Linked DNA regions of Bombyx mori. The protein of the gene in region 1 purifies or fractionates together with the protein of each later gene. This does not show direct contact. Links are inferred from orthologs where the notes say so. Each region holds a gene or a part of one and is shown in the gene's direction. Other genes may lie near its edges. The genes, in order: protein-L-histidine N-pros-methyltransferase and proton-coupled zinc antiporter SLC30A1.

The links.
Region 2: the proteins of protein-L-histidine N-pros-methyltransferase (region 1) and proton-coupled zinc antiporter SLC30A1 purify together in Homo sapiens (co-immunoprecipitation; 3 studies listed by BioGRID and IntAct, with this or other methods). This does not show direct contact. The link is inferred for Bombyx mori from reciprocal best matches to the Homo sapiens genes METTL9 and SLC30A1.

Annotation. Positions count from the first base shown.
Region 1 is NC_085117.1:14,603,469-14,607,306, forward strand, and holds part of protein-L-histidine N-pros-methyltransferase, read left to right. Parts: intron 1-2,864; coding exon 2,865-3,055; intron 3,056-3,838. UniProt on the Homo sapiens protein: Protein-histidine N-methyltransferase that specifically catalyzes 1-methylhistidine (pros-methylhistidine) methylation of target proteins.
Region 2 is NC_085119.1:13,207,552-13,211,389, reverse strand, and holds part of proton-coupled zinc antiporter SLC30A1, read left to right. Parts: intron 1-3,364; coding exon 3,365-3,587; intron 3,588-3,838. UniProt on the Homo sapiens protein: Zinc ion:proton antiporter that could function at the plasma membrane mediating zinc efflux from cells against its electrochemical gradient protecting them from intracellular zinc accumulation and toxicity.

The DNA of each region.
Region 1 (3,838 bases):
ACTGCATCACTGCTCTTTAGTCATACGTGTTATATACGCAATTGTAAATCAAGTCTATTAAAAACAATGCCTTAAATTAAATTTCTTTGAAACCTTAATGCGATAGAATCGTGCAATGAAATAAATCTTCAGACTTTCATGTTCCTGTTTCATCCATTTTTCTGAGTACAGCATTTCGGTCTGCAGAAGGTACGTACATACGTCCAAGCGATCTGCATCCCGGCTGATCCTATTTTAATGGAGCGCCCGGCAAACAACCTCCGAGCCGCTTACTGGAAAATCCATTGGGATTCTATGCGCCACTTAGCTCGCCTACTATACCGTGCTTGGTTTCACATAATCTATATCTATACTAATATATAAATCTACAGTGGTTTTTACGGATGTACCGTTATAACTACTGAACCATGCATCCGATTGACTTGAAACTCGGTATCCATGTAGAAAATACATGTACTTAATGTATAGGCTAAAATATTTATATGGGTGTTGGACTCCCTACTCCAGTTGCGGGGGTGTTAATGATGAGAATCTTTGTGGGGGTGAGAAATAATAATGTTAATTTAAAATGCCCAGCGAAGCGGACGTGTACCTACAGCTAGTACATTACAAAATTACAATTTTTTTATCTTTTTTTTGAGCCACATTAAATTAAACTAAAATTAAAATACACATATAAATAGTACAATCTTTTGATGGTATTGACCGAGCGGACGGCTAGCCGCAGGGCAGAGTAAATGTGAATGTCTTAAGACGTTTGGTATTGCACCATTTATCTTGCACATTTAAATGGGAATTAATCTGGCATTGTGCAGCTTGAATGTATTCAACTTAAGTATTTCGCTTCATATTGACAATATGCTTACACAGAGGCGTTTGATTCATTAGCTCGAGGCAAACGACCCGAGGATAAAGAACCTTCGTCCTTTCGCTCCTTCGATGGATGCACCCCGACTGACCCGCGTTAACGAGATAACAGAACATAATGAACGTATTGAAGAACTGAACGAACTGAAAAAGGGCAAAGATTTATCGAAACACAACAAAATTGTATCCTAATTCCGATTCTAATGCGTCATTTCAACTACGGAAGAACGGTAACCTACATAGTCTGTAAAATAAATAAAAATTGACGTGACCTCGATAAGTCGCCGATTGAATAAATCATTGTCGATTTGTCTTTCCCTAACAGGTAGATTTTTTTAAGCGGGGACATAGTTATTCATGCAAATATAACTTACACGAGCAGAAAATGAATCTTAAACATGAGTCTCATAAATAATCGGGCCGAGTGCTTCTTATCTACATAATAGCAAAACAACAAGTGATGTGTAGTCTATAGACTATATTATCACGACTAACACTACACAGTTATGTCTCAATAGTTAATGCGGTTTTAAAAATGTTTAATTTATATTTTAGATACGATATTAATGATTAGTTCACGTAAATGGTGTGACAAGCTCGCGGGTCGTGATGTTTAAGATGTTAACGTGTCCCAAAAACATCGCAACTTGAATGACACCGCTTAAATTTAGGCATGATATTTCGGTGTCAATTTCATTGAAATAATGTCTATCCTTCAAACTAGAACGCTTGACTGCTTCCCGGCCGTAATCCCTAATCGAAACATAAGATAAATAATATAAAATTTGCGAAAGAACTAAACTACATACACATATACTCTTACAATATAGTACACAATGAGACGATCATTAGCCCTTTTTTTCTTTATTTAATTATGTAGAACCGTAAATATTGAGCAACGAACGGACAGTAAATAGACGTCAGAGACGATTCTTTAATCATGAATGGTTTCAGAATTCAAAATTTTCCACAATTTGTATTCCGTCTGGAGAATTCGCTTCGACGAATCCCGTGGTTCCGATGCAGGCTATTTTAAATGTAAAGAAGGCGCATTGCATAATCACCAACGTGATTCGCTATCAGTATTCGGTACTAAATATTTATTTTCCTTCATTTTTTACGATACTTTTTTGCGGTACGTCGTAAAATGTTCTAGATATTGATGGTTTTATATTTTATTATACAATGGGGTTGGGTCCAAATCGTATGGTTGTTTATACACTACTCTTTATAACATTTACAAACTTTGACATCATCAATTTATCTTTAAATACTTCTGGACCAAGAAGAATGTATAATAAAAGTATTTACGTAACGAATGTATGTTCTAAAATAATAAATGCATTATCGCTACATATTTATTACAATTATTTGTTTTATTATACGGCAAAGTCAAAGAAAGGAATAAAACACGTTCCTAAATAAAAAATTAATGTTTTTTTATTGTTGAGGAATACGAGCTATGGATTGGTTCAACTCACACTCCGAAACATCCCAAAGTTTTTGTACGTCCTAAGGTAATACAAAGACAGATCTGGCATTAATTAAGTTGGCCTGATGACTCGCCGCGCTCCCGGTCTCTCGCCGCGCCGTCATTACATGTAAAGGCGAGGATTTTTTTTAATTCGTCATTATTCTGTGGCGTAAAGAAATGTTAATTCGAGGCAGCGTGAAATTAACAGCGGCCGCAATGCCCTTTGTTAGGGCCGCGGCGGCCGAGTTAAACACACAACGGATGACGATCTACAAGCTCCTCTCGTGCTATCTTATTTGCACTCGATTACATTTTTCTGTCTTTCGTTAAGATTGGCCCTGAGATTTGTTAAACATCAATTTGCTTAATGCACCTTAGCCGTAATGACCATTCTCATTTGTAATTTGTCTTACCTATCATCATGAAACATTATTTAGAATATAATTGAAGCCAGTTCTCGATTCGATTTTTAAAACAATTAAATTCTCATTGTTCAGGAATAAAGTTAAATTATTTATTACAGTGGTACCGAGTGAATCGAGATCGGCTAAGTCCAGAGCTGCAGCAAAAATTCGTCCAGCTTCACCCTGATGAAGAGACGAAACAATTTCTCTCTGCCTCCATCGAGAAGTCGTCTTGGGTCTGGACGCAGATCTGGTATCTTCTAGCCAAAGCTGTTTTGAAACGTTTCTGGTCGATAACCGACATCAATGGGTAATTTTTTGGAACTTAATTTTTTCCTAATCTTAAAACTACACAGTTTAATTTAATCGGAATTCTTATTGAATATCGATGTCCTAATCGGTTATAGTCGCTCGTGGGCATCAGCAATGACAAATGCATGCATGCGTCTGCCTCATGTTTCAAACAATGTCCAGTGATCGTTTGATCAAAATATATAACTATATCATGCTGACTAGTATAAACGCTGTCAAAAACCGAGCTTCAAAAAACGCGATAAATATAATCTACGCATAAACTGTTTTGTTAAAGTTTGGTAAAATATTGAAAAAGGCCAGGACATGAGCTCAAAGCATTCCTCGTAGAAGAAGAGACCTCTTTCCGTAGACTCGGAGGTTCCATATAATGCAAGTTCTCTATTACGTACGTCGCATCAAATACAAGCAGCAGATCCATACTTTTTAATTTAAAAGTAATGAATCATATCTTTCACAAACGATGAATTGCCATTTGAATGACGACAATGGTCCATTATTAAGTGCGTCCAGATTCGTCCAATTACGCCAATTACAATCTCCCGGTAGCTGTATGTACTTAGATACTAACGCATGTATTATTTCCTCATCCATTGTGTTGTATCTGCACAAATTAACTAATTCGTGTCGTTCACGCGTGGCTGGGAGTTTATCGATGTTTCAAAATATCGATAAAAACAATCTATTGTAATAGAAATATGACATGGTGAAACTGGAAAGGCCTCCGGGCCACCAGTAAGTAATCTTTAAATCATAAAAAAAAATTTTTACATAGATGACA
Region 2 (3,838 bases), on another chromosome or scaffold:
ACATTCAAAATTATCGTCAAAAACGATTTTACAGTGTATTTAAAAAAATAAGTAAACAACTCTCAAACCTATATTCTCCTTTGCGTGCTGTAAAATTTTTAAATCTGTAAAATTAGTACGACAGTAAAACTTTGACAATCACTGGTGCTCTATATAATTTAGATATTGTCAACAAAATGTGGCCCAGTTTAATATATTATGTAATTAAAAAAAAACCGTAATTACTTGCAGTAGGAAGTGTCATATGAGCAGTCAGGTGTCAATACTGTGTATGTGTTTATATACATATATATAATATTTTATTATTATTTTTCTCTTACTCTCAAAAAGAAATGCACATACCACAGGACTCTCTACATCAGTTTTTGACTGGTAGAGACCTTAAGTCCGTCACAGTCTTTTTGTTCATAAAGTTAAATAAATAAATACTACTGTTTTGTCTATCTCTACCGCAAAAATATCCTGTGATTTTTTTGTGAGATAGTATAGTTGATACTCAAGAGCTTATAGCATCGCAGAAGAGAAGAGGTCGCAAGATAGAGAATTCTTTATATGCGGTTGGTATGTTCCAGCATGATATCATGGGATTTTCGACCTCACTTCGAATGGTGGCTTGCGGAAATATTCGCTTTCTGTGTGCTTAGTGCGAGCTTTTGAACGTTCTCGATAGCGTAAAAGTTAGCTGTATGGAATGGGATCGTTTACCTACGTTTGCCGTTAGGGGCGCTGTTTCAACTGCATACAAAATTGGGTTAACTCTTACGCTATCGAGAACGTTAAAAAACTCGCAATAAGCACACAGATATTTGGATTTTATCTATGTATGCACTACTAGGTAGACCGCTCGTTGAGTTATCGATGCCAGTCAAAAACCAAACGTTGAATCCATTTTAATTGCTCGCTTATCTATTAATAAATCTGTCAATGTTAATCACATTCCAACACGTGATTGGTGGTCACCGATTCATTATCAATCGATACGTATTTAGATTAGTACTTAATTCTTAGTTGCACAATGCAAAGATAATTTTGTATGGGTGCATTCAGAACTGAATAAAATCAATGAAGATCAGATTTCGTAACGACCTACTTTAGGTGATATTTTAAATAATATGCGTATTGCTGTGTCAATTGTTGGCCAAAAATCACGTATTGATTTTGCAATTTAAAATGAAACTATGAATCACACGTGACCATTTTTGTTTAAGGATATTCATGTTAATTTGATTCGTGCTCTATTTTTTTTGTATAAAATTATTTTACGGTTAACTGTAAAGCCTACTCATTTTCGAAAGTATATGTGTAAACAGAAATATTTATCTATACTTCTATACTAATATTATAAAGAGGAAAGATTTGTTTGTTTGTTTGTATTGAATAGGCTCCGAAACTACTGAACCGATTTGAAAAATCCTTTCACTGTTTGGAAGCTACACTATTCCCGAGTGACATAGGCTTTAATATTCTTTGAAAAAATTAGGGATCCTTACTAAAACTCCAATAATGTAACCCATGGTGTAAAAAAAATACCTAAAATATTCTTTACATCGCGTACCTTGCGAAAACTGCGAGACAAGAACAAATAGACAATAAGCCTATCATGAAATTGTTTAACAAGAATACAGACTCCGGAGTTGCATGCATGCCTCGCGGATACTGTAGTTAAAGTCACTAAACCTATGAGGCAAAGACATAAAGGGGATGGCCCATTTTCGGCCCAAAGCGGACAATAGATTATAGAAAAAATACTTAGTGCATTAATTTTGTCATAAATAAATATGCATTTAATTTCTTGCAAATAAGCGCCACTACAGTTTACAATAAGTAGTTTAAAAAAAGTAACTCTATTGAAAAAACAAGGATTTTTATTTTTGCGGGAAAAATATTGCCAGCTTCAAATCCTTTTACGTATGAAGTAAATATTTTGAGTATATAAATAAAACATATAAATAAATCATTTTAAGTATTATCATTAATCAAACGATTTTAATGGATTTTATGCACATAAAATAACATCGAAGACATACCCATTGGACTTTAACTTGTAACTATACTTGAGACCTTAGAACTTATATCTCAAGGTGGGTGGCGCATTTACGTTGTAGATGTATGTGGGCTCGAGTAACCACTTAGCAACACCAGGGTGGCTGTGAGCTCGCCCACCCATCTAAGCAATAAAAAAAACTTTACTAGTATTGTTATTTAAATATGTACAACTAAAACAAAAACATAAAAAATAATGTGTACTCGTAAAAAAAAGATTAAGATATAAATCAATTATCGGTTATTTAAAAAAATAATCGATATATGAATTTCATGTAATTATTTTTCTTTATACTGACAACACTGAATTTAATCTGACTGACTGACACTTCGCTTGCTGCTTGTGGTGTTGTGCTTGCGTACAAAATGGATTTGTTTTGATTTTTCTTCGATTTATTTTACTTTTATCAATAACGTTTCATACTACGACTAAAAAACATTGTGTGAATTGTGGTTTTACCCTGACCGAGATTTAAAACCGTGTATATGCTCTCCTTTGCTATTTTTAGATGATACTAATTGTGTATGAAGATGAAGAAAATATAGATATTTAAAGAATTAAGTGTGTTTTTATACCCTATTGGATAAAAATAAATTAGGAACATCTTAAACATTAAGAAAAGAAAAGTTCTTGAAGTATCTCACAATCCGACACTTATTTATATAGAAAATTAACCTCAAAACGAGTTTTTATTTTTATTATATTTTTTATAATAGTGGCGTCAATTTCAATATATTTTTTAGATATCCAATACATTTAAGAATTTGAATCAGTACATTTTTATAGTAATATTTGATGTCCATCTTGGGCCTAGCACACTATGGAGAGTGGGCAATCCCCTTTTCTGTTGATAATGCGAGCATCAAATTAGTGTGTACATTTACCTATAAATTGTCACTTGAATAAACGCACCACTTAGTTATCATAAGATCATAAGGTCTTTGAACGTTTCGGAAAGCATCGCCTTAGCCCTGGCATAGCTGATGTCCACGAGCGCCGCTGACTGCTTTTTTTCTTATTGCTTAGATGGGTGGACGAGCTCACAGGCCACCTGGTGTTAAGTGGTTACTGGAGCCCATAGACATCAACGTAAATGCCGCCGCCCACCTTGAGATATCAGTTCTAAGACCTCAGTATAGTCACAACGGCTGCCCCACCCTTCAAACCGAAACGCATTACTGCTTTACGGCAGAAATAGGCAGGGCGGTGGTACCTACCCGTGCGGACTCACAAGAGGTCCTACCATCAGTAAAACTTACCATCAGATGGGCTGTTTGCTTGTGTGCCTACAAATAACCATAAATATTTCGTTTCCTATAGATGTCACCAAAGAAATGGTCAAAGAACACTTTCGGCTGGGCTCGTGCTGAAGTTTTGGGCGCTCTCGTGAACGCAGTATTCTTGGTGGCTCTTTGCTTCAGTATTACAGTTGAGGCCGTTAAGAGGTTTATAGAGTTCGAAGTCATACATAACCCGAAACTCCTTGTCGCTGTCGGCAGTCTAGGTCTACTGTTGAACATTATAGGACTTTTTCTGTTTCACGGTAAGTAGCCAAACTCTATTTAAGTTTATGTATCTTCGATTAATTTTCTTTTTTGTCTCCACTTTATCCCACTAGGTGGGGTCGGCACATCGAATTTTTCTATTCCATTCTCTTCTATCAGCCGTCATCTCAACACTCACTCTTTCTCATATCGTCATTCACACACTCCATCCATGTCTTCTTCGGTCAACCTTGCACTGCCATTTCCATACATCTCCTAGTGACATGCATCTTCTCTCTACGTATCACAT